Ovis aries: one gene and its partners. The protein of the gene in region 3 interacts with the protein of the main gene of each other region in a pairwise test. Links are inferred from orthologs where the notes say so. Each region holds a gene or a part of one and is shown on either strand. Other genes may lie near its edges.

The links.
Region 1: the proteins of CRX (region 3) and LARP4 interact in binary tests that used the Homo sapiens proteins (3 or more experiments, as listed by UniProt). The two-hybrid records come from large-scale screens. The link is inferred for Ovis aries from reciprocal best matches to the Homo sapiens genes CRX and LARP4.
Region 2: the proteins of CRX (region 3) and BANP interact in binary tests that used the Homo sapiens proteins (3 or more experiments, as listed by UniProt). The two-hybrid records come from large-scale screens. The link is inferred for Ovis aries from reciprocal best matches to the Homo sapiens genes CRX and BANP.
Region 4: the proteins of CRX (region 3) and GCM2 interact in binary tests that used the Homo sapiens proteins (3 or more experiments, as listed by UniProt). The link is inferred for Ovis aries from reciprocal best matches to the Homo sapiens genes CRX and GCM2.
Region 5: the proteins of CRX (region 3) and M1AP interact in binary tests that used the Homo sapiens proteins (3 or more experiments, as listed by UniProt). The two-hybrid records come from large-scale screens. The link is inferred for Ovis aries from reciprocal best matches to the Homo sapiens genes CRX and M1AP.
Region 6: the proteins of CRX (region 3) and LONRF1 interact in binary tests that used the Homo sapiens proteins (3 or more experiments, as listed by UniProt). The two-hybrid records come from large-scale screens. The link is inferred for Ovis aries from reciprocal best matches to the Homo sapiens genes CRX and LONRF1.
Region 7: the proteins of CRX (region 3) and CCNC interact in binary tests that used the Homo sapiens proteins (3 or more experiments, as listed by UniProt). The two-hybrid records come from large-scale screens. The link is inferred for Ovis aries from reciprocal best matches to the Homo sapiens genes CRX and CCNC.

The regions. Positions count from the first base shown.
Region 1 is NC_056056.1:135,859,144-135,862,643, reverse strand, and holds part of LARP4 (la-related protein 4), read left to right. Parts: intron 1-1,082; coding exon 1,083-1,292; intron 1,293-1,911; coding exon 1,912-1,960; intron 1,961-3,500. UniProt on the Homo sapiens protein: RNA binding protein that binds to the poly-A tract of mRNA molecules. Associates with the 40S ribosomal subunit and with polysomes. Plays a role in the regulation of mRNA translation.
Region 2 is NC_056067.1:12,929,398-12,933,354, forward strand, and holds the start of BANP (protein BANP), read left to right. Parts: upstream 1-1,157; 5' UTR 1,158-1,825; intron 1,826-3,957. UniProt on the Homo sapiens protein: Controls V(D)J recombination during T-cell development by repressing T-cell receptor (TCR) beta enhancer function. Binds to scaffold/matrix attachment region beta (S/MARbeta), an ATC-rich DNA sequence located upstream of the TCR beta enhancer.
Region 3 is NC_056067.1:54,473,051-54,476,987, forward strand, and holds the start of CRX (cone-rod homeobox protein), read left to right. Parts: upstream 1-1,137; 5' UTR 1,138-1,176; coding exon 1,177-1,276; intron 1,277-2,006; coding exon 2,007-2,158; intron 2,159-3,937. UniProt on the Homo sapiens protein: Transcription factor that binds and transactivates the sequence 5'-TAATC[CA]-3' which is found upstream of several photoreceptor-specific genes, including the opsin genes.
Region 4 is NC_056073.1:44,530,351-44,534,484, forward strand, and holds the start of GCM2 (chorion-specific transcription factor GCMb), read left to right. Parts: upstream 1-1,334; coding exon 1,335-1,424; intron 1,425-4,134. UniProt on the Homo sapiens protein: Transcription factor that binds specific sequences on gene promoters and activate their transcription. Through the regulation of gene transcription, may play a role in parathyroid gland development.
Region 5 is NC_056056.1:96,481,242-96,485,172, reverse strand, and holds the start of M1AP (meiosis 1 arrest protein), read left to right. Parts: upstream 1-1,131; coding exon 1,132-1,371; intron 1,372-3,931. UniProt on the Homo sapiens protein: Required for meiosis I progression during spermatogenesis.
Region 6 is NC_056079.1:23,438,124-23,441,490, forward strand, and holds the end of LONRF1 (LON peptidase N-terminal domain and RING finger protein 1), read left to right. Parts: intron 1-1,501; coding exon 1,502-1,660; 3' UTR 1,661-2,867; downstream 2,868-3,367.
Region 7 is NC_056061.1:37,546,097-37,549,596, reverse strand, and holds part of CCNC (cyclin-C), read right to left. Parts: intron 2,543-3,500; coding exon 2,487-2,542; intron 1,759-2,486; coding exon 1,723-1,758; intron 1,052-1,722; coding exon 960-1,051; intron 248-959; coding exon 180-247; intron 1-179. UniProt on the Homo sapiens protein: Component of the Mediator complex, a coactivator involved in regulated gene transcription of nearly all RNA polymerase II-dependent genes.

The DNA of each region.
Region 1 (3,500 bases), on a different chromosome or scaffold from region 3:
ATTGCTATTCAGAATCTATTTTGTATCATATAAGTAATTTTCTGGAAAAGTATCATATGTGAGACTTAGCTAAAATTTATAGCCTGGTATTTATGCTTGTTTTAGTAGTAGTACCTTTATTTGTTACATTTTCTAAAGAGTTAGTAGGGTAGCTGAATAACTATGAAAATAGACTAAAAAAATGGAATGTATAAACTGCAGGGAAGGGGCTAAATGAAAATCTAGTACTTCCTTTTTTAATCTGCTGTAGAGCCAAGATCCTCAGTTACTTGAGCTTACTTGAAATATTCTCACTTTTTAAAAAATAAACTTTATTCATTTAGTTTAATTTTGACTGTAGTGGGTCTTTCTTGCGGCCCCAAGCTTTCTCTAGTTGTGGCACATGTGGCCTGCAGGCTCTGGAGCACGTGGGCTAAATAGTTGTAATGGCTTGCAGGCTTAGTTGTCCCATAGCTTATAGCATCTTAGTTCCCCAACCAGGGATTGAACCCCTGTCCCCTGCATTGGAAGGTGGATTTTTTTTTTCTAATTTTATTTTTAATTGGAGGATAATACTTTCAGTCCCCTGAAGAGCCTTTTTAGACTCTTCCTCCAATTCCCTCATATGATAGTTTAATGCTAGAGATTATTGTATGTCTGTTTATTCTAGTTCTTACTCTCTTTGGGGGTTTTATTGCCCTATTGAGAATATATGGCATAGATTCAATAAGCTTCTAGTCTGGCTGATTTAGATATGTCAAAACTGTATCTTGTGCTAAAGAAGTTAGCTGAAATCCTAGGTATATCCTGAATTTTGAGGTGGAAGTAGCTTAATCTTGAAGAACTTTGGATCATTTCCAGATCGCTCCAGACAGCTTTTTTAATGAAAAAATTCTTTGCCTTTTAAAAATAATATATCTGAGACATTAAAGGGTTTACGTTTTTACAATATAATGCTTCTGTGTCCAACCTAGTTTATGGAAAATCAGAATACAGCAGAAGGCAGTTTTTAACTTGGCCTATTAAGAATTTCTGCCATTAAGAGGAAGGATTTTTCTGTCTTAATTTATTCTTTCATGTATATGGCCTTATGTTTCTTACAGTGTGAAGCCTCATTTTAGGTCAGGTGGTTCAGAACATTCAACAGAGGGCACTGTGTCGTTGGGGGATGGACCATTGACCAGATCTGGTTCAAGGAACTTTGCAACTGAACGACATAATCCTGCAGTAACAGGGCATCAGGAACAAAGCTACCTTCCAAAAGAAACTCCCACTTTGCAGATGGAACAGAATGGGGACTATGGCAGGGGCAGGTAAGGAAATATGGTAATAAATATGGAAATAATGTATATGAAAATTCTTTAATCATAATATGAATATTAGAAGTCCATGATCTAGTGATTTTTAAAATTTAATTTTTCATATATAGTTATGCTAAAATTTTTTTTGTTCACATAATATGGGTTACTAGTTTTTCATAATTAAGAAATTTAGAATCCCTATAAAGAATATAACTCTGGGTCAGAGGTTTATAAAAGTTATTCTGAAGTTCTTTACAGTTCACTAAGGAAAGATTAGTATCTTAAGCCATCATAGTTTTAATTTCTGGCAACATGTGAACTGTGGGAATTGGGTTATATATTTATTGTCTACCCTACCTAAACAAAAAAACTGAATCCTGATATGCTCCTGATGTGGAGGGAGCACTGATAATGAAAATAGGACCAGTTTACTTAGCGGTGGTGGTGGTGGTAGGTGACATTTTCTGTAGATCAGTTTAGGATCCCTTCAGAAGAATATATATCCTTTAATAATAAAGGAGATTTAGGAAGTAAAAATTCACCCATCTTTGATAGAACATACACATTTGAAGAAACTTAATGAGTTCTCCTTCCTCCCCCACCCCTCACCCCCTTTTATCATTGTTAAAAGGAGAACTCTCTTCAGAGGTCGAAGACGTCGGGAAGATGAAAGGATCCCAGTAAGTTGTTGTTGTTGTTTTTTTTTAACTTTTAATTACATGTGTTCAGGGTTTGTTTGTTTCTTTGTTTTTCTTGTGTGATTTAGTACGGCCTTGAATTCTGGTATGTCTTTCCTCGATTTTGTTTTATTGGTTATAATATTCAGCAAAGATAATTATAGCCTATTTTTGACCCTGAAATATCCACCATCACCACCACCCGTCACCCTTAGAGCACACATGTAGTTAGAGATTTGACCTGTATTGCTCACTTAAAAAAAAAAATGTTTGAATGCCTAACCTAGTCACATGGTTTAAAATAAAATCCATGAAAATATTCCATGTAAAGTTTAATTATTGCTTTATTAATGGAGATTTAAGGAATTTCAATGTTTTAATCTTACAATGCTGTTACAAACAGTGCAGTGATAACCTCGTATAACCATCACTTCCTGTCTATGCTATAGTGTCTGAAGGAGAATCCCTGGAGGTAAGATTTCTGAGTCACAGTTCAGTAATTTACTGCGTGATGGCTTTTATAGGGTTTGTGTCAATTTTCACTCAGTGAAGAAAGTTCCTATTTGTCCATAGCTTTACAAAGTATATAATTTTTTGCAAATCTAATATAGTATGTGGTTCACTTTTAAAGCTCTGTTGGGTGATGTTGGAAATTATTACACTACTTACTTAGGGGCAATTCTCTACCTACTGCTGATTTTTATATTTCCCACTTAAGATTAAAAAAAATTCTTTATAGTTCTAGGCAGGTTTTTGAATCCTCACTTAGCCAGCTTCAAATTATTCATATTTTTATTTTTTGAGGTTTGTTCATGGTGAACGTTTGCCATCTCCTAACTGGAGTTGAGGAATAAAAATAGTGTAAGAAGCTGGGCATACACACCGAGGAAATCAGAATTGAAAGAGACATGTGTACCCCAGTGTTCATCGCAGCACTGTTTATAATAGCTAGGACATGAAAGCAACCTAGATGTCCATCGGCAGACGAATGGATAAGAAAGCTGTGCTGCATATACACAATGGAATATTACTCAACCATTAAAAAAGAATACATTTGAATCAGTTCTAATGAGGTGGATGAAACCGGAGCCTATTATACAGAGTATAGTAAGCCAGAAAGAAAAACACCGATACAGTGTACTAATGCATATATATGGAATTTAGAAAGATGGTAATGGTAACCCTGTATGTGAGACAGCAAAGAGACACAGATGTATAGAATGGTCTTTTGGACTCTGTGGGAGAGGGCGAGGGTGGGATAATTTGGGAGAATGGCATTGAAACATGTATATTATTATATGTGAAACGTATTGCCAGTCCAGGTTCGATGCATGATACAGGATGCTAGTGTAGGAAAGCATGGAGGTTTCAAGAAAACACTAGAATTTACATTTATATATGTGTGGAATATAATGCTTTACATGCATAAATAGTAAATTAATATACATATATAATAGTGTACTATATAGTGTTTGCGTAATATACCTAAAAATATACAGATACCACATGTTTGAGCAGTGAAAAGTGACCAACTTTTCAAGGA
Region 2 (3,957 bases), about 42 Mb from region 3:
CTCCTCCCCCTTCTTCTTTCAACCTGGCTTCCTTTCCTCCCTTGAAATCTTTGATGTTAGTACCTGGATCTGAAGTTCTGTGTCTCTATAGGAGGTTTTCTGAGAGACTGTATTCTTGTATTTAAGGGCTTCCCTGGTGGTGCAGAGGTTAAAGCGTCTACCGGCAATGTGGGAGAGCTGGGTTTCATCCCTGGGTTGGGAAGATCCCCTGGAGAAGGAAATGGCAACCCACTCCAGTATTCTTGCCTGGAGAATCCCATGGACGGAGGAGCTTGGTGGGCTACAGTCCACGGGTTGCAAAGAGTCGGACACGACTGAGGGACTTCACTGTCACTTAATAAGAATTTTCCAGTTTGTTGTGATCCACACAGTCAAAAGTTTTAGCATAGACAATGAAGGAGAAGTAGATATTCTTCTGGAATTCTCTTGCTTTTTGTATGATCCAACAGATGTTGGCAATTTGATCTCTGGTTCCTCTCTGCCTTTTCTAAGGATACATAACAAACATCACAATACATAACATCAATTACACATAAAATATATATCACATATAATTAATATATATTTTTCTAGGAGCGTGTCTTTGAACCTGTGACGAACCTGGGAACCCCTGAGCTCGCCTGCTACTCAGGGGAACCCCGCTGCAGCAGTGGCCAGAGCCGCGCCCGGTGCAGCGGCCTTGCACACCTCAACTACAAGTCCCAGCATTCCATGCGCTGGCACGGGTCGGGGGGGATGGGACCACAAGTACCAGCAGGCTTCGCGCAGACGCAGGAACCACGAGTCCCAGAATGCACTGCTCGAGGCTTGCGCAGGGCCCTCCGGGACATGTAGTCGTCTATGGCGCTAATTCCTATTCATTAGGCCTCAAAGAAAATGCAAATTCCCCGAACGGTCCACCAACGCGACTTTTCAGGGGCTAGTGAGAAGCCTGAACGCGTGACAGAGAAGTAAGAAGTTTGGAGGCCAATCTGTGGCGAGGATGCAGGACCCGTGCGCATGCCCGGCGGTCGTCGGCGCCAGCCCAGCGCGGGCGGGAGATTCCGAGCAGCAGGCCCCGCCCTCGCGCCCTGCCCCGTCCCCGTTCCTCCTCCCGGTGAGCCTGCGCAGATGGTGCAGGGCGGAGGGCCGCGGGGAGGGACTCGCGGCGCCTGCGCAGAGCGGCGGCTTCTCTCGCGAGGACGGACGCCATTATCGCATCTCCCCGACAAACACCACGAGAATTCCGCAGCCCACACGGTAATTGCAGCTCCCGCAGCCGGTCGCGTCTCCACCTCCCCCTTCCCGCGGGGCGAGAGCGAGAGCGAGATCTCCCCTCCTCCCTCCTCCCTGCGCCCTCCTCCGGCCGCGGCGCCCGCGCCGCCGCCCCCGCCCCCCCGACACGGCCACCGGCCCCAACGGCCCGCCGTCCTGTGCGCCCCCGTCTCAGCCCTGTCAAGCCGCCTGCCCGCCGCGCCTCAGCGCACCCGCACCTGGCTCCGGCCGCCCATCCCCCGGCCCGCCGCCCCCGCCGTCGCGGTGCGCGGGGTCCGTCGCGGAGCGGGCCTCCCTTCCGGGACCAGGCCCGCAAGAGCAGCGTCCGGCCGCGGGCGGGCGGGGTGGGGTCGCGCTGCTGTTGCTGCGGTGTAGCCGCTCCGGGTCGTGAGGCCACGGGCTGGCAGGCGGCTAGGCGGCTCCCCCCCGGGAGGCCGGCGGCCGCGGACGCGGGGACAGCGGCTGCGGGCGGAAGTGCGGGAGGCGGCTGTTCTCGCTGGGCGGGCGGCGGGCCCGAGTGAGGAGCGGCCCTGGGGACCCCTGCCCGGTGCTCGGAATCTTCGAGCCGCCGGTAACGTTAACTCCGTGTGTTTAAAGCTCCTTTGCCCCCCCTTGTCTGGCGATTAAAATAAGCGTTTCCTCCTGGGACGTCGGGTCCTGTCACGGCTCCAATTTTGAGAAAGCTGATGCCGTGTGTGGGTCCAGTGCTGCGGCCAGTCCCGCCGGCGTTTCCAGCGCTTCTCATCGCGGCGGTCGGGTCAGGGGGACAGGGAGGTGGCTGCGGCCCACGGAGGGAAGGGGCTTCCCTGGGTCACACGGCCAGGTTTGAATGCGATCTGTCCCAAGTCCATGTTCTGAAAAAACTGCACACGTTTGATACTTTAATAAAGTAATGCCGCAAAGTGTCAATGGAAGACTATAAAACAACAGCCCCCACCCCACCTCCCAGTTCCACTCCTCCAAGACTTTATATTTTTGCTGTTTCATGAGGAAGTTCTTCGTTGCTATAAATAATAAGCTGGCACTTTACTGGTTTTATACATTCCTGACTTGCTGTTAACAGATAGGATGACTGACTTTTTCATATCGCGTCTCACCTCTATCCCCTGATCACTATGTTCAGTTCAGATTGTTTATAACTAAGCAGATATTCACAGCTAGGTAGTCTATTTCCCCTGTTATACGGGTTTTTGCTTTTTTCTGTTGTTTGTGATGGCCTTTCTTTTTCTTTGCACTTTTTGTTCCTGTTGACTCTTTACCTTTTATTATTTTTTTAACTATTCCCCGAGGCATGTGGGATCTTAGTTCTCTGGGGATTGAACCTGTTCCCCCTGCAATGGAAGCATGGAGTCTCAACCACTGGACTGCTAGGGAAGTCCCACTTTACCTTGTTTTAGATTCTGAAGGATGGCACTAAATCTCTCTTACCATCCCCCTCTCCCCAGCCTTGTGGTGGTCTTTTTCTAATCTGGATTGTTTACTCCTTAGACCAGCACCAGTATCATCTTGACATTTTTTTTTTTACTATATACAACTGAGTTTGTTCAGGTCTCGTGTTTTAATCTTGACTTCCTTTATTTCAGTGAGAACCTACTGCCAAGTAGCCTTATTCCTTTTGGATAACTCTTCAGGATCCTCTTTGGTATTAAGACATTTCCGGAATTCCCGAAAACTGTGTAGAGTCCTACTCTGACTGCTTTCTGACTCTGGGGACTTGTCCTTCAGCTCTGGAATCTGAAAGTCTTGTGTCATTTGAGAATGTCTTCTGCTCTGCTTTTGGTGGTGGTTTAGTCGCTAAGTTGTCCGACTCTTGTGGCCCCACGGACTGTAGCCTACCAGGCTTCTCTGTCCGTGGGACTCTCCAGGCAAGAATACTGGAGTGGGTTGCTATTTCCTTCTCCAGCTCTGCTTTTACTCTTCTGTTTTAGGAGTTTCTGTTAGTTTGATGATGGACATCTTGGATTAACCCTCTGAATCTTCTGTCATTATCTTCTTCCTGTGTCATCTTATTCTTGTTTCTGGGATAGAAACATTTATCCTCCAGTCCTACTTAAAAATTTTTCATTTCCACAATCAAAGTTTAATTTCTAAGGATTTATAATGTTCTTTTTTCATAATAATGTATTGTTTGATGAATGCATTTTTCTCCTTGACTTTGGGGATACTAGTAAGGGTTTTTTTGGTTCCCTTTTGTTCTCTGATTTCTTGTGTTCTGTTGTGTCACTGTTCTTTTCCTCTTTTTAAAAAGACGGGCTTCTTGCTTTGTGTGGCAAGTACTCTTCAAATACTGGAATTATTGTTGTCTAAGGCCAGAGGAAGCAGGCAGAGAACTCATGAGTTTGGGGGGCTGATTTTTTGGTCACACTCACATGGTGGCTTATGGAATTTTTGTTCCTCAACCAGGGATTGAACCTGGGCCCATAGCAGTGAAAGCATGGTGTCCTGACCTCTGGACCACCAGGGAATTCCCCCGTGGGACTGCTTTTGAAAATGTGCAGGTTTCCTATTGGGTTTTGGGGAACTTTTTGTTGTGCTGGGACCTCAAATGCCAGAAGGCAGATTTTCTCTGGGCCTCTCTGCTTAAGGAAGATGCCTTTGACTGGGGGCTGCTCCACTTGGTCTAGGGACGGCCCTTGTACAGCTCTTCGTACAGGGACCTGACTTCCATGTGCAGGCACAACCCTCACCCTCTCCTGGTTTGGA
Region 3 (3,937 bases):
AGCAAAGACCTACTGTATGGCGCAGGGAACTCTATTCACGCTCTGGTAATAACCTGTAGTGAAAACTAACGTTAAAGAAATACAGAACTGAATCACTTTGCTGCGTACCAGAAACTAACACGACATTGTAAGTGAACTATACTCCAATAAGAAGTATCCGAGCATAAAGTCTGTGCAAACGTCTGCTTGCAGATAATAATAACCACCACAGGTTTGTAGCATTTGCTGCGAGTCAGGTGCTATTTTAAGTATCAGATGCACAATAATTCATTTGACCCTCACATCGACCTAAAGATGTAAGCTGTATTGTTGGTTCCCATCTTCTGATGAGGTGGCTGAGGCACCTTGAAGGTGAATTGCTGGGACCAAGGAAAGACGGCATTTTTCTTTGATAAATGTTTGCAGTTTGTTCCATCCACACTGTCGCCCGTCTGACACAAGTAGCCTGTTCTGAGGCCATCCCTGGAGTTACCAAGCCTCTTTGATCTTTGCCAACTTGATGGGGTCAAAAATAGTCATGGGAGATCATTACTTGCTGTCATTTGACTGTGACTCCCTTGGGGTCACTAACCATCCTGATTTGTCTGGGAGTTTTCAGATTTGTCACTGAAATCCCATACCCCTAGAAAGCTCTCTATCCCCGGCAGACTGAGACAACCAGTTTCCCTACTTTGCCATGATTCTGTGTGAGGCTGAACATCTTTTTTGAGGTCCTAGGGGTTGGGAAGATCTCCTGGAGAAGGCCACGGCAACCCGCTCTAGTGTTCTTGCCTGGACAATCCCATGGACAGAGGAGCCTGGAGGGCTACAGTCCACGTGTTGCAAAGAGCCGGACACGACTGAGTGACTGACGCTAACACACGGGGTGGGGGAAAGGTCTTGGACAAGGGAGTTGGTCAGAAGATCTTTTAAAGGATAGAGTAGGAATAGGAGCTTACATTTAGAATGCTCCTTACAGCTTTTGATCTTGGCTTTATAGAGTCCCAGTGATGCTTTGACGACCTTAAGCAGAGGGCTGTTTTATAGGTGAGGAAACCCAGGCACAGACTGGGGGGATAAGTTGCCCAAGGTCACATATCTAGGAAGAGACTGAGGCGGTGATGAACTGGGGAGTTTGTGAGCACCCATCCTTTTCTCGCAGGCCCCCTGACCTGGGCCCCAGCATCCCCGAAGATCATGATGGCGTATATGAACCCGGGGCCCCACTATTCCGTCAACGCCTTGGCCCTGAGTGGCCCCAGTGTGGATCTGATGCACCCAGCTGTGTCCTACCCAAGTGAGTACAGTCATCCTCCCTGCCCCCCCACCCCCTGCTGGCCCCCACCTTCTGGAGTCCCTTGCCCTCAGGAAGCGGATGGGTACTTACAAGGATGACATCAGGGCCATACACCAGCCAAACGGGCTCATCTGTAAATGCAAAGCACACCCCACATCTCTTAGGGATGCAGGAGAGCGTGTGGATCTTCATAGAAATTTAGGACAGTGGTTCCCTTTCGGGTGAGGGAGGGAAACCATCTGGAAGGGGGACCCAGAGGAATTCCCATCTGTCAGCGATGCTTTATTTCTTAGCGAAGGAAGCGTTCTATTTTTGATGGTATTATCCTTTTGTTAAGTTGACCATTACGGTCCTGCCTCTTTTATAGGCTGGATATCCCCAAACGGCTGGATATCCCAAATGTCATGTTTCAAGTGAATGTCTTAGTGCAGAAGGAATTTTAGAAAGGGGATGAAAACCAAACTCAGATACCTCCTTACACAGGTAAAGCCAGTTCTCCTCGGGGCGAGGCAAGAGTCCCCCCTAAGGATACGCAAAGGGAGAACCCGTTTCCCAGGGGGACAGAGTGAGGTCTAGAAGTTGAGGGAATCAGCACCCCCTTAGTTTGGGCAGATGAACGCCCAGAAGAGGCTTGTTAGCATCCCATGCCTTCTCAGGACCTTGCGTCAGCAGATGCAGAGAATGGGGTCTCAGGTCACCCAGCAGTCCTGTTTTTCTGTCCTCACCCCAGGCGCCCCGAGAAAGCAACGGCGGGAACGGACCACCTTCACGCGAAGCCAGCTGGAAGAGCTGGAAGCCCTGTTTGCCAAGACTCAGTACCCGGATGTGTATGCCCGTGAGGAGGTGGCTCTGAAGATCAACCTGCCTGAGTCCAGGGTTCAGGTGGGGTGTTCTGGTCCCTGGGATCCAGAGCGGAGGAAAGAGGGAGAGGTCACAGAGGAAGGGCTGAAGTGTCCTGTTAATCTCTCATCCCCGTAATTTCGCTGGCTTCCTATCTGGCATGCCTATCCCCTCTCATTCTACTCCATGAGCACTGCCCCAGTCCTTCCTTCAGCATTCCCACCAAGAACACTCTTTGTTCCCTCTACCCGGAAGATATATTCCCTACACCCTGTTCAAGTCTTTGTTTATCAACCAATCTAGTCACCTTGCCAGTCAATGAGACCTCCACCGCCCTTGGCATTAGAAGCTGCAGCTTTTTCCCGCCATCCCAACTCTGCTACTCCCCCTCACTCTGCTCAATTGGTCCTCCCATAGCATTTATCACTTTCTAAAATTCTATGTGATTTCCTTCCTTACTATTTATTTATATGCTGTCTCTCTCAAGACTTCCCTGGTGGCTCAGATAGTAAAGCGTCTGCCTACAATGCGGGAGACCCAGGTTCAATCCCTGGGTCGGGAAGATCCCTTGGAGAAGGAAATGACCACCCACTCCAGTATTCTTGCCTGGAAAATCCCATGGACGAAAGAGCCTGGTAGGCTACAGTCCATGGGGTTGCAAAGAGTCAGACACGACTGAGCAACTTTCTTTCTTTCATTCTCTCAAGTAGAATGTCAGCTTCATTGGTGTGTCCCCAAAGGAGTAGAAGAATACATGTTTATTAAATAACTGAACGGATGGATGGATGGATGGATGCATGGATGGGTAAATGTATATGTGTGTTTGATTGTATATATGTATGATGCATATATGATTGTATATATGGATGTGTATGTGTTTGTATGATAATGTGTGTACATATGTACATAAGATCGGAAAGATGAAAGTATGTATCATTGTATGTGAGGTGAAAGTGTCAGCCTCTCAATCATGTCGGACTCTGCGATCCCACTGACTGTAGCCCACCAGGCTCCTCTGTCCATGGAATTCTCCAGGCAAGAACACTGGAGTGGGTAGCCATTCCCTTGACCAAAGCCGGGTCTTCTGCATTGCGGGCAGATTCCTTATCATCCGAGCCCCCAGGGAAGCCCATTATTGTGTGTATATACTTACAACTGTGCTTAGGCATGACTGTTATGTGTGTGCTTATGATTGGCTGGTGAATGTGCGTAGGTATGACTGTATGTCTGCATGCATATATGAATGATTCGGTGGACAGATGAATGTATAGGAGTATATTTGTATGTTACATGATAGTAGGTATGTACATATGATTGGCTGGAAGAATGTGGATATATGTGTGTGACCATGTGTGTGCCCGCAAATGTATGCATGTACAATCGTGTGCATTGTATATGATGGTGTATGTGTGGCTGTACAATCGTGTAGATAAATAGTTGGGTGGGTGGTGGATGAATAGAGTGCCCCATGTTGCTGTGTAGCTGCTCAGTCGTGTCTGACTCTCTGTGACCCCATGGACTGTAGCCCACCAGGCTCCTCTGTCCAAGGGATTTCCCAGGCAAGAATGCTGGAGTGGGTTGCCATTTCCTTCTCTAGGGAATCTTCCCGACCCAGGAATTAAACTCACGTTTCCTGCCTTGGCAGGCGGATTCTTCACCCCTGAGCCCCCTGGGAAGCCCCCTGAGTGCCCCACAGCCGATTGCAAAGTAGAGAGTTATGACTCTGGCATGCTTCACCGATAGGCATCACCACTCCTGGGCATCACGAAGGCTCCCCTGGGCCTCCTGCCCACTCTCCCTCCCTCATCTCCCCTCTCGCCC
Region 4 (4,134 bases), on a different chromosome or scaffold from region 3:
AACTTAAACCCCTTCCATTGGTTCCTTGTATTGGGCCCTTCCAATCACCCTAAGGAAGTGGGCGCACAGCTAAAGAAAGCTTGGTCTCAGCCCTGGGAAGCCCACAGCGCCCTATGCGCTCACCTGGTTCTTCCAGTCTCCAGAGCCTCTGCAGACGCAATGGGTGTAAATACGATTTTGTTGTGATATTTCCACGACGATTTCCACGCGGTTAGGGAGGAAAAAAAAATACTATTTTTTAAAAGGGTCGTTTCATGTGGATGGCGACTGAGAAATCTCCGAGCCTCAGATCCTTTTCCTAGCAGAAAGAAAACAGGCTCAGAAGTAGCCAAGGCGGCAGAGAAAATACAGGTTTGGGGCGCTTGGGGGCCGCAGAGTTCCCCCCCTCCTTCCCCTTCCCCCTTCCTACCTGATGCGAAGAACTGACTCATTAGAAAAGACTCAGAGGCCGGAGAAGAAGGGGACGACAGAGGACGAGATGGCTGGATGGCACCACCGACTCAGTGGACATGTTTGAGCAAGCTCTGGGAGATGGTGAAGGATAGGGAAGCCTGGCATGCTGCAGTCCATGGGGTCTCAGGGAGTCGGACACGACTGAGCGACTGAACAGCAACATCAGCCGGAACAAAATCCCCGAAAAGAACGCGCCCCAAAGCTAGTAGGCGCGCATCTTCTCGGACAAGGGCGCGCGGCCGCCCAGGCGTTTAGAGGTGGTTCCCGAACTGCCTGGGGACTGAGTATTACCTCTTGGGCATTTTGCTGGAAAGGTTCTGTCTCAAAAGCCTCTCTCTAGATCCAGTAGGAAACCCCAGAGGTGGGGCGCAGTTAGGAAAATGAACATGAGTTTCAACTTTAACTAGACATTTCAACCTCCCCCGACTCTGGCCCGTCTAGGCTTCAGTTTCCCGTCACCTTGAGTCCTCAGGTCCACCTCCCCTCCGTCCCTCGCCCTGCCTGGAAGTGGGGAACCGGCCCTGCAGGTCCCTGGAGGGTGGGAGCGGGCGGGCGGGGAGCGAGGAAAGGCGGAGCACAGCGCGCGGGGCCGCGGGGCGGGGGTGGGGGGAGCACCTTTATAAACGAGCAGGCAGCTGCCTGGCGCCCGCGCTGTGCTCCAGGTGGAGACTTTTCAGCACTGCCACCAAGAACAGGGCTCCACCCGAACCGCCCCGAGCCCTTGTCCGCCGCTTCTGCATTTCTAAATCGGCCTCTCTGTCTGTCTCTCTCTCCACTTGCTTTTAAAACAGCGGGAAAACAACCTTGGGCTGCTCTAGGTTGGTTTGTTTTTCTTGTGTCTTTCAGGACACTTGGCAGGGAGCGCCCGCGAGGAGAACCGGATGCCGGCGGCGGAGGGGCAGCTGGCGGACTGCGCGTGGTCCTACGGGATGAAGCTCAGCTGGGACATCAACGACCCGCAGATGCCGCAGGTGCGTGAAACCCGCTGCGCGAGCCGCTCTCCCTCCAAAGAGGAGGGATGTCTTGGCAGAGCCTGTGGACAGGCCGCCCTACCCTCCTCCTCCCTCCAAAAAAACACATCCCTGAGAGCCCGCCAATGTGCAGGGACTCCACAAATGGCGGAGCTGGGGCTAGAGATTGTCTTCTCCCACCTGTTTCCTCGAACCCTTTTGAAAACACAGAAAGCAGCAGGAACCGTCAATTAGGCTCCACGTTTCAGGTCGTCTGGCCGCCGGGAGCCTGACACCGCGTCCCCCACTTTCTTTTAACTGAGGTAGGAATCCGCTGACTCTTGCTTGTCCATTCTTCGACATCCACTAGAAAGGTGGAGGGGCATCTTGGTGAATGCAGATGCCACCTCTTCTCACGCAGCGGAACTGAGATAGGACCATAAATTGCAGCGACCGAATCTTAAACAGCAGGACTTGGGCCATTTATCCTGGCTGCTAGGATGAAGCGTGGCTCTTGAGGGGCTTTGCAGTCGCGCTAACCAGGTCGCAGGCGCCCAGACAGCCTCTGGAATCCAGGTTTTGGACACAACTTCTGAGCTTACTTCTCTAGTGAGGAGGAAATCAGTGTCATCTGTTTAGGGTGAATTTAGGGCGAATTTGTTTTAGTTTTTAACAGAAAGAAGGTGTCTCAAGCCAAGTCCCCAGAATGGGCTGGGCCATTATGCTTGGTCACAGTGGTTGGGAGCAAAAACTGCAGAGTGACTTTAAAGTCCTGGGTGGAGGTGGAAGGAGAATTAGGAATGACCTGGAAACATTTGCAGAGGTGGACTTCTGGCAATGCCCTGGTACAAGGGGTGAGAGAGACTTGACCTTTATTCAGCATCTATTATGTGCCATACAGCTGTTCAGGTGGACAGCAATTCATTAGCAACGTTGGGTAGCCTCTCAAAGAGATAAGTACTTTGGGGTACACATTCATGGAAATCTGTTTGTTTTCAAGCCTGCCTACTTTAGGGTCACACTGCACCATTCTGTGAAAGTGGACCACAGTACAGCTGCGGCATCTCCTTCCCACTGACCTCTGTCCGTGTAAATCCCCACGGGGGCTGGGGGGAATCTGTTCTTGTATTTTAGAAAAGAGCCATATCCAAATAAGGGAAGGATGGGTTCCCTCACAAGCATTTTCTAGACTTCCCATGTAAATGTGAAGAACTTATCCTCTGAGAGATTAGTCCTTAAACAGAGTGAGTGTGCCGTCTCTAAAGAGGCAGGTGCTCTGGGTTGGAGAACGAGGGTCCTGCTCCGGCTAACCCAAGGAGAAAGGGCTACACTCACAGTGTGACATTGAATTTGTCACATTGTGACATCCTGAATTTGCCTTCGTCTAGGGTCACTCACTTGTCATTAAGCAGTGGAATTAGATAACGGTCTTAAACTCTCATCCTGTGCATGTTTAGGACACTATAGTGTGAAAACAGACCAAACGTAGACAAATGTACATGGCCGTGTTCTAATACCACTTCATCGTGGATAGCAAAATTTGGATTTCGTGTGACTTTTCACGTGTCACAACATATAATTCTTTTGATTTGTCCCCTCAATCATTAAAAAATGTCAAAATCATTCTTAGTTTGTGAGCTGTACTAAAACAAGTGGGAGGCTGAATTAGGCACATGGTCCCTAGTTTGCAGACCCCTGCCATAAAGAGTAGCTGGTAAATAGTTGAGTGTGCAGGAAAGGGTAATTTTATATTAAACTTATAACAAGAAAGACATCGCAGTATAAATAATGCATAATATGGACAAGGACCACCAAACATGAATAGGAAAGCGGTGTTCATTCTTTTAGATATCACATTATTCTAGCCAGGCAGCTCTTTGTGTAGGAGAATGACAATCCATATTGCTCTGGAGAGAGGACCAGGACCTAGCAGGCTCCACCAAGTGCTCGGGTTTACCTTATATCCAGGCTGTCATCATAATACCCTTGTAAACCTGGAAGGCTGGGCTTCCCAGGTGGCAGTAGAGGTAAAGAACCTGCCTGCTGGTGCAGGAGACATTAGAGAGAGACGCAGGTTCAGTCCCTGGGTAGGGAAGGTCCCCTGGAGGAGGGTATGGCCATCCACTCTAGTATTCTTGCCTGGAGAATCCCATGGACAGAGGAGCCTGGGGGCTACAGTCCATGGGGTGGCAAAGAGTTGGACACGGCTGAGTGACTCAGCACGTATACATGCAAACCTGGAAGGCTACTTTGGGAAGCTGTTCTTGTCTCTCTCATGTTGTACTGGGTATCAAGCCAAGAGCTTTGGAAGAAAAACCACTGGATGGAAGAAAAGATACAGGCTCAAGTGTATATCAGTGAAGAACTTTCTAACCACTTTCTGCCCTGGCACTTTAATACTTACCTTAAAAATATTTGTAACATGTGAATACACCAAGAAGTGGTATAACCTGGTGGTAAGGAGGACAGGCTCTGGAGTCAAACTGTGTGGGCTCAAATCCTACAGCCAGATCTTACTAGCTGTGTGACTTTGGGCAAGTCGATGAAGCTCTCTGGCCTCCGTTTACTATTCAGTTAAATAGGGACAATATTGCGCCTATTGTCTGTGGGCAGTGTGAAAGCTAAAACTAATACCTGTACCATTTTTGTAGGAAGTGGTATAGAAGCATCAGTTTATAGCCAGTTGTCAGAAGGGGACACACACACAATGAGTGACATTTTGTAAGAGCGC
Region 5 (3,931 bases), on a different chromosome or scaffold from region 3:
TTTGTTCCAAGTTTTCATTTGTTCTGCTTTCCAAATCTGAGCCCTGGGGATAAGTGTAAGTAGCCAGTAAAGAAAAAAGGCAGGGCTGTTGCAGGTAGAGAAAACAGCATGAGCAAATGCACTGAAGTTGATGGTATACTTGGTTTTATTTCAGTGAAAAACTTGAGGTAAAGAATAGCCTCCAATAAGACTGAAGATCAAATCATAAAAGGTTTTGAGTGAGTCTTGGAGGGTGAAAATGTAGTTATATTTTTCATTTTAAGAATTACTATGTACAAAATAAACACTTTGCTAAGCTCTGATATACAGAATTGGTAATTTCTCTATCCTTGGGAAGCTCACAGTACAATGGGAGAGGCAGTCAGGGAGACAAATTATACTACAGTACAATGCCAGTAAAGAAACAAAGTTCCTGAGGGCAGATAGCTTACATTGAGACTGTAGTTTGACTTTTTTGATTAGTTCCATTCAACATTGCTAATCATCCTCAGCCTTACATTACAGGCAAACATCTAGATACCTTGGCAGCTGTTAAGATTAGGATAGCCTAGAGAAACTTGAGGAGAAGGCAATGGCACCCCACTCCAGTACTCTTGCCTGGAAAATCCCATGGACAGAGGAGTCCATGGGGTCGCTGAGGGTCGGACACGACTGAACGACTTCACTTTCACTTTTCATTTTCATGCATTGGAGAAGGAAACGGCACCCCACTCCAGTACTCTCGCCTGGCAAATCCCATGGACGGAGGAGCCTGGTGGGCTGCAGTCCATGAGGTCGCTAAGAGTTGGACACGACTGAGTGACTTCACTTTCACTTTTTACTTTCATGCATTGGAGAAGGAAATGGCAACCCACTCGTGTTCTTGCCTGGAGAATCCCAGGGACGAGGGAGCCTGGTGGGCTGCCATCTCTGGGGTCGCACAGAGTAGGACACAACTGAATCGACTTAGCAGCAGCAGCAGAGAAACCTGAGTCATCACCTGGTTTGACTTCTTTCTGAGCTTCGTCTGCTAGATCTGTGTTCATTGTTTCAACCTTCAGTTTTACGAAAACCAGTGATTTCTCTTTTCTTCCTTACAGGTGTAGAGAATATCTCAGTGGTGGCTACAGGTCCACCTCTGGGCTGGCTGCCATGTATCATGGGCAAATAGCTAGTAAAAGGCCCTCTAATCCCACACAGATGTACCAACAACCTCCGAGGCTTCTCATTGTGCATATTGCTCTACCATCCTGGGCTGATGTCTGCTCCAACCTCTGTGAGGCTCTGCAGAACTTTTTCTCTCTAGCCTGCAGCTTGATGGGCCCCAGCCGCATCCCTCTCTTCAGCTTATACATTGTACAAAACCAGCACGAGTGCATCCTCCCTTTTGTGGTGAGTATATCTATACTTGTTCATTTTATCCTGAAAGCAGAGGTGAGGGTTCTGGAACAGAGATCAGTTATTATTGCTTAAAGCAGTAACTGTGCCCGCTCCCCATACCCATAACTCACAGGCAACACAATGAGAGCCTCATATCATCCTACACACAGGGGATTTGTACTGAAGGAAGAGAACCCCAAAATTACTAATATGAGAGTGTAAATAAGCCATGTCTTGCCCCCCACCTCCACTCCTGAGAGAGAGAAATCTTGGCATTTACAGTCCTTTGGAATGTAAGCAGCTGACCTCTCTCATCCCCCTTGGAAATGTAAGCACAAGGAAATAAATCCCTAAACTTCTTCAGAAGTCTGTGGTTACTCTACCACCCTTTAATTTCTAAAACTTGTCTTTTGACCCAGGTTCTAGTTTTTTGCTCAGAAAGCCCCATCTGTGCGGAAACATGAAAATATTTTTTACACAGGACTCAGGTGAAACTCCCCCTAGTTTCAGAAGGCAAAGGATGGGCCAAGGGCAATGCTTTTACCAAGCTCCCTCACATATAGAAAACTCTTTTCCTCCTCAAACAAACTCAATTTTTTACTTCCTCCCCTTTACAAAGTTCAGAGTCTCAGGGATGGGAAAGACTTCAGTTCAGTTCAGTTCAGTTCAGTTCAGTCGCTCAGTCGTGTCCGACTCTTTGCGACCCCATGAACTGCAGCACGCCAGGCCTCCCTGTCCTGGAGTTCACCCAAACTCATGTCTATCAAGTCGGTGATGCCATGCAGCCATCTCATCTTCTGTCGTGCCCTTCTCCTCCTGTCCCCAATCCCTCCCAGCATCAAAGTCTTTTCCAATGAGTCAGCTCTTTGCATGAGTAGCCAGAGTACTAGAGTTTCAGCTTTAGCATCAGTCCTTCCAAAGAACACCCAGGACTGATTTCCTTTAGGATGGACTGGTTGGATCTCCTTGCAGTCCAAGGGACTCTCAAGAGTCTTCTCCAACACCACTGTTCAAAAGCATCAATTCTTTGGCGCTCAGCTTTCTTTGCAGTCCAACTGTCACATCCATACATGACTACTGGAAAAACGATAGCCTTGACTAGACAGACCTTAGTCGGCAAAGTAATGTCTCTGCTTTTGAATATGCTATCTAGGTTGGTTATAACTTTCCTTCCAAGGAGTAAGCGTCTTTTAATTTCATGGCTGCAGTCACCATCTGCAGTGATTTTGGAGCCCAAAAAAATAAAGTCTGACACTGTTTCCACTGTTTCCACTGTTTCCCCATCTATGTCCCATGAAGTGATGGGACCGATGCCATGATCTTCATTTTCTGAGTGTTGAGCTTTAAGCCAACTTTTTCACTCTCCTCTTTCACCTTCATCAAGAGGCTTTTGAGTTCCTCTTCACTTTCTGCCATAAGGGTGGTGTCATCTGCATATCTGAGGTTATTGATATTTCTCCCAGCAATCTTGATTCCAGCTTGTGCTTCTTCCAGCCCAGCATTTCTCATGATGTACTCTGCATATAAGTTAAATAAGCAGGGTGACAATATACAGCCTTGACATACTCCTTTTCCTATTTGAAACCAGTCTATTGTTCCATGTCCGATTCTAACTGTTGCTTCCTGACCTGCATATAGGTTTCTCAAGAGGCAGGTCAGATGGTCTGGTATTCCCATCTCTTTCAGAATTTCCCACAGTTTATTGTGATCCACACAGTCAAAGGCTTTGGCATAGTCAATAAAGCAGAAATAGATGTTTTTCTGGAACTCTCTTCCTTTTTCCATGATTCGGCAGAAAAATCTCCTGGAGAAGGGAATGGCAACCCACTCCAGTATTCTTTCATCCCCCACCCACCCAAAAGACTTCAGAGATTCTAGTAAATTCCCTTCTTTCCTAAGACAGCCTTGCTGTTGGTATAGTCAGAAAAGAACCAATGGAAAGCCAGGACTTTGATTCCTACCTAGTGTGAATAAGACCTCCTCCCACATAGTGTCCATGAAGCCACATGGTAGCCTGGACTCCCCTCAACCCATTCAACTTTAACAGGGTAACTATTTCACCCCCTCCCTATTGAGGTGGTATTGGAGGCAGCAGAGTGGAGGCCATGTGGGGAGTGGCAATGGGGCATCTTTTTGCCTCCAAGGCAGAGTGGTGTCAGTGAAAGCCTAGTGGGAAGCCAGAAGTTACAGGAGTTTCTTCCTAGTAAAATGCGTAATGGTAATGAAGCTTCTCTATTCCCAGAGTGTCACTGGGGGGCATATGAGGAACCTGAACTTCTACCCCCACCCAGAGATAACAAGACACTCTCCCTTCTGGGATATAATTAGAGACCAAATAGAGTCACACCCCAGTCTGGCAATAATTATGTGGAAACCACTTCCTTCACTGGTGCAGTAACAAAAAAGTCCTGCTAAAACAGAAGATTTAAACAGGATTCATTCTTACAGCATAATACCCAAAATGTCCAGAATACAATAAAAAAAAAAAAAAAACCTCCCATGATTATCAAGAAACAGGAAAATCCAAACTTAAATGACACAACAAACATTGAGATAACACAGATGTTAGAAT
Region 6 (3,367 bases), on a different chromosome or scaffold from region 3:
GCCCCCAGTGAGGGGCGACGACCAGGCATCCTGAGGAAAGAGGCAGCAGGCGTCCAAACCAAACAGCACTCTGGCCAAAATCTATTAAACCCACACAAGCTGTGCAGGGGTGCTCCCACTTGTAAATAGCCGTCCGAGACTACAGTGCTTACTTGTTTCTTCTAAACCCAGAGTAAGAGAAATGTAAGTAAAATGAAGACGCAGAGGAGGCACTCCCAGTAAACAGACCCAAGAGAATTCCCCGAGAGAACAATGAAATACAGGCCTCTTCAGTCTAGTAGACAGCAGGTTCAAAAAGGAGGCAGTGAAAATAATTGAAGGAATTAAGAAGGGCTAGCAACATAAATGCAGATTGTTCTAGGAAGGAACTAGAAACTATAAAGAGGAGCTGAGAAAAATTAGGAAACTCACTTGCTGAGATGAAAGCTAAGCTGAAGGCAATGAATAGCAGAATGAATCATGAAGAGAGAATAAGAAAAGAATAAGTGTTCTGGAAGACAGAATAATGGAAATTACCCAATCAAAACAGCAGACAGGAAACCAAATGAAAAAAAAAAGGGCACTATAAGATCCCTATGGGATAAAATAAAGTGGGCCAGTCTATGCATAATAGGGATTTCAGACGGGAATGAAAGAGAAAAGGGGATCAAAAATGTCTTTGAAGAAATTATGACTGAAAACTTTGCAAATCTAAAGAAGGAAACACATCTCCAGGTACAGGAAGCACAGAGGATCCCAAACAAACCTACACCAAGACATGTTATAATTAAAATGACAAAAGTGTGAGGATTCTAAAGGTAACAAGAGAAAAACAGTTAATTACAAGGGACCCTCCCCCCACCCCCATTTGGCTGTCAACTGGTTTCTCTACAGAAACACTGCAGGCCAGAAAGGAGTGGCAAGATATATTGGAAGCGCTGAAAAGGAAGAACCTGCAACCTAGGATACTCGACCCAGCAAGATTATCATTTAGAATAGAAGGAAAGACAACTTCATAGAAAAGCAAAAAGTAAAAGAATACAGCAATTACTAAACCTATCCTAAAAGAAATAATGAAAAGTCTTTTCTAAATAGACATCCAAAAAAGTTCATTCTCTTCAAGTGCACATACTAGGACACAGAGCTAACCTCATTCACTAAATAAAGAGTATAGAAATCAGAAATCAACTACAGGAAAAGAAGTGAGAATGATTAAATAGAAACTGAACAGTATGCTACTAAAAAACCAATCGGTCAATGAGGAAATAAAGACTACTACCTCACACAGGTCATTTAAAAAGGCCACAAATAACAAATGTTGGAGAGAGAGTAGAGAAGAGGGAACGTTGGTGGGAATGGAAGTTGCTACAGCCACGGTGGAAAACGGTAGGGAGATTTTATTTAGAAAGAGAATCTGACACTGTGAACTGCTCAATCCAGATTAGCTTGGTGGTGGTATGTTGCTTCTGGGCCTACATAACTACTTGTTTTGTTAACATTATAAAATGTGGGTTCTTCTTAGGCAATCCCTAATGGACCGGCCTGGTGTTGGTGGCTTCTTGCTGTCCTTCCCGTTGACCCCCGCTATCAGCTGTCGGTTTTGTCAATGAAGTCTTTGAAAGAACGGTTGACAAAGATACAGCATATACTGACTTATTTTTCCAGAGACCAATCTAAGTAACCAACTGCTTGGATCCTCCTCTAAAATTACCCTAATCTGGCTGGGGTGACGGCCAGGTTGTCCGCTGCCTTTGCACATCCAGTGCTGGTTTGAGAAACGTAAGGAAACTGTTTTTTTGTTGTTGTTTTTTTTTTTTTCTTCTTCTTCAGCCTCCTGAGTCATGTGGTTCTGCAAACGAATACCTTCAACTAGGATTTAGACCACTAAGAACTTGCACAGAAAAACACACACTGAATGTGTGTTGAACCTCTACATTGTGATGAAGTTGCACTATGTACCATACTCTAAATGAAATGAGAACTGTGTGTGTATGTGGGGTGGGTGTGTGCGTGTGTGTGTCTCTGCACGTGTGGGTAGTATGAGTGCATTTTCTCTGGCTTTAAAATTTAAAAAAACAAAAAAAAAGCCATAGAGAGCAGTACTTGCCGAGGGTCATTTATTGCCCAAGTTTACAACAGTAGCGATACAAGTTTTTGCAAATTGAATTTGCCTCAGATTTCTCTGTCCTAATGCTTACTTTGCACAAGTATTTAAGCTATGGTATTGAGTATCACTCTTTGTCGGAAATACCGCTCTTGCTGAACCGTCTTGACCATTGACTATGACACAGTTTCTTATTTATGTAAATACTTGCATCCCAATAGCCGATGGGCATCGGATGCAGAACCTAGAGCCAGTTTTCAGGAACAACTGCAAACCTGACTTGGTACTGTGCATCTATTCATAAAACACTTAAAACTGTGAAAATATGGTTTACACTTAACTGTACATAAAGGTAAATGGAGAACTCAGTTCAGTACCAGTTCATTTGTACATTTTAGGGGGGGGCTTTTCACATTAACTGCCCATCTGTGTAATTTATAGTTTGACATGATGTGTTTGTTTAAAAAAATTACATAGTATAAACCCATTAAGGATCTGAGGGAAGAGAAGAAGCTTAATGTAGAACTAAGCTTTTAAAGTATGTTTTTTTTTTTTAAAATCCTGGTCTTGGTGCCAATGTTAGTTATGCCTTATTCATATCACAGTTAGGTCACTATGCTGTGACATGGTCTGTATTCATGCTGCCCTAGATACTTTTGTAATTATTTGTTGCAGACTTGTGACTGTCCCTCTTAACTTTCTTTTATGTAAGTAATTTGTAAAAAGTTTCTTAAAAATTTTGCTTTTGCTTATTTAATTTTGAATAAAAGCTAAATTCATAATACTTTTTTCTTAATTATTAGGTCAGTGTCAAAAAAAGAACATTGAGTTTTCTTTACTGTTTTGTGTTATGAGATGTAAATAATACAGCTTTCAAAATATTTTTGAAATGTTTTTTTGGTCGTCTTTTGACCAAACAGTGAAGTGTCTTAAGGAAGCTCTAGGCCCATCCTCTAAAACACATTTTGCAACCTCTTAAAAGATTGGTCCCTAGTTGCTATATGATTCAGGGAGCTCAACCTGGTGCTTTGTGACAATCTAGAGGGGTGGGTCGGGGTGGGAAGGGGAGGTTCAAGAGGGACAGGACATATATATACCTTTGGTTGATTCATATTGATGTATGGCAGAAATGAACACAACATCGTAAAGTGATTATTCTCCAGTTAAAAATAATTTTAAAAAAATCTATGTCCCTTAAGGATAAAGATAAGACTCTTACTGATTCCTCTTGACCAAAGTTTTAACTAGTTAGGTCCCCAGTAGCCCTAGAATTTTTCTCAGCTA
Region 7 (3,500 bases), on a different chromosome or scaffold from region 3:
GGAAATAATCCTGATTTGTGACAGTTGCAGTTCATATTATTGAAAGCTCACATGCAAGGAATAGTCTATTACTTCAAGGAACATAAAAACATAAAGCACAATAGGGTGAAATTTCTTTTAGGATGACCTAAATAGGTTTATAATAATTTAGCTAATAAAGGTATACCACGTTTACATACCTAAAGCTATCATGAAAGGAGGATACAGTAGGCAAAGATCCGTTCTGTAGGTATCATTCACTATCCTCCTATAGAAATGTAAATCATAATATCACTACTTCATATGATTGTACATTTCCCTCCAGAGAGGGCCAGATTTTCCCTATCTGTATATATTTATATCTCTTTTATATTACTTTAACAGACATAAAGGTGAAAACATCAAAGGAAAAAGATGGATAACATGAATGTGACAATAAGCCAATTTATTGAATAAAATTACAGTTAAATATATTTAAATTTTTAAAACTTCATAATAAATTTTAACAGATAAAATTTTTTCTAAAATTAGAAAATCAGTTAGGAAACTAGAAATTATACAAAATATTAATATGTATGTTGAATACCACCCAAAATATTCTGATTAAAGATAACATTTTAAAATTTATTTTACTGAAGTATAGTTGAAATCAGTGTTCATTTCTTCTGTACAGCATAGTGATTCAGTTATATATTCCATTATTGTTTAAAGATAAAATCTTAATTTTCATTTAAACAGTCTGTTTTTCATAAGAATCAAATTTTAATGGAAATATCCATCAAATAAATAATTTAAAGATCTTTATCATTTTAGCATTTATTCCCATATAGTTATTAAAATTCAATAAGCAGATATTTCACTTAACATAAAATATCTTGGGGCACGGTTTACTTACTTTAAAAATGCTAAATTTCATATTTAATTGTCAACCTTCCTAGCTAATAACATGTTACACTATGAATAACTTCTGTTCTAATTACCATGCAAGGGGAAGCAACATGTCTTCTTGGCCCATGTCCTGCACATACTGGAGCAAAGGTCTATAAGGATGATACACTATCAAGCAACAATCCTAGAAACAGTTTAAAAAATGTGTATGTATAAAAACAGATTTATTATAGCACAAAAACCTTATCATTACCCAACTGATTTTTAATAGTATATTTCAAAATGTATTTTTTTTCTAACTCATGCTTGCTTCCCTCTTATTCTCTTAAGCAAGCAGCATGGCAGCCCTAAACTCTACTATAACAGTGAAGGCAGTGCTCTCTCTGGAATATACCTTGGTAAATCGGTTGGCAGTCAGTCAGCATCCATTCCCTTAGAGACTCAAAGTGTCACATCTGCAACACACTGAAACCTCTTATTAGCCTATAAATCCATAATTCCCAACTGGTGGAGCAGAATTCTGCCAAAGACATAATCTATCTTTAAATAACCCCACACATATACACAAACTGTGCAAATAATTTACAGTGGTTTACTGTCCTGACTGGTTTGATTGTAATCCTATTATAGTTACTATAGAACAGAAAACACTTCCCATCCTAAGTAAGATATACAACTGTACAGGCTTCCAAGAGCATACAGGTGATGACGCCACTAGGAACTATGGTTTACCATCACATATTACTCGGATGGTTTTAAAATGCACCTCCCTACAATTATTTCTTTAAATTTATGACTTCACTAAATTTGAAAGTAAGTTTTACTCTATTAATCATAAGGAATAAATATACTTACCATTAATTCTAAAAGATAGAATTCACATTCTAATACCTGTTTGGAAAAGATTATAAATGTCAACATGAAAGCAAATTAATTTGAGCCTTAGTTTAACTTAAGAATGTATAGCTATTAAAAGTTCTAAAATATTTTTAAGAAAACAATAGCTTATGTCAAAATGAATATATGCTATAAAAAATTACTTTTTACACAATGCATGCAACTGTGATTATGAGACATTTTATTTCTTGTAAGGAAAAGCCAGTCTCATATAAGCATTCTTATTACTTGTTTTTATTTAAAATATCCTGTATAAACTTCAGATTTTACAATACACTTTCCACTCAACAAATGCAAAAACACAATTATCTCCACTTAAATATCATTCTTGTTACAAATCAATAATAGAAGAGAGTACTAAAATGAAACAAAAATACAATTTAAAGAGGAAAAAAAAAAAAACCCTTGCAAGGTGGAAAAAGAATATTTCTATTAAAATGGCAATAGAAATTCATCTTTTCCAGACAGCCCCTGACATCAGTATTATTAAAAAAAGCTCCCAATGTGATTTAATGGGTACCCAGGGTTAATAACGACAACTATAAATTATTTTTTTTTATGGTAGAAGCAAGTTAGCTTTAATTTAGAAATAAAGTCCACATTCTCGTACAATTTTAAATTGCCATTTCTAGGAGACTATTCAGTTTATTTTAATATAAAATGGAGGTATAGTTTATATATACAGCTTTGACAAGTAGTTTTATTTTATACAATATACTTACATGGTTCATCTTATAAGGAAATTCCTTTGGAAAGGCATATGAAAATCTAGTTTTCACTGAGAAAACAAACAAAAAAACTTAAACTGAGAAAATGGGGAGTTCATTAACACAAACTTTTTTAATACAGTGTAAAATATTGATGGTAGAGCTAAATCATTTTTAGTAAGAACTCGAGGATGCTTAGAGATGCAGATTTTTCTTCCTTTCTCAGGCAATGGGAAAGACTGAGAGGCAGAAAGCTCTAGGACCCCATCCAAATTACAATTAGAGAGTTTCAATGATATATTTAATATATTAAGACAGGATTCTGCTGCTTAAAAAATTAAGGAAATGGGAAAAAAATCAATGGCTTTTATCATTTCTAAAATCTTTTCAGCTCTAGAATGGTATTGCTATATTCTTTAGTAATTTAGCTTAAAAGGAACAAGAGTTGTATATGTGTTTACAAGTATCTATATATTTGTAAATATATACAGTTGACCGTGGGCTTCCCTGGTGGTTCAGACGGTAAACAATCTGCCTGCAATGTGGGAGATGTGGGTTTAATCCCTGAGTTGGGAAGATCCCCTGGAGGAAGGCCCTGGAGAATCCTCATGGACAGAGGAGCCTGGTGGGCTACAGTCCATGGGGCCACAAAGAGTTGGACACAACTGAGCAACTAAGCACAGCACAGCTGATCCTTGAACAACACAGATATGAACTGTGTCTACACATAAATGGATTTTTCCAGTAAGTAAGTACTATATGAGCCAAGGTTCTATATGCAGATATCTCAACGTAGCAGAGTTGGTGTGCCGATCCCCTATGTTATTCAAGGTAAACTGTATATATAAATTTTAGAAGGATAATACAACCAAAAAATGTTAACAGTGGTTATCTCTGAGATTTAAGGATTTTTACTGATCTGAACATTCTAAACATTTTATAATATGTATTTTTTAATCAAATGATACATTTTAATAAAATCATGAATATACATGCAAAGGTCTCTAGGATTTTCTTTAAAACTACACA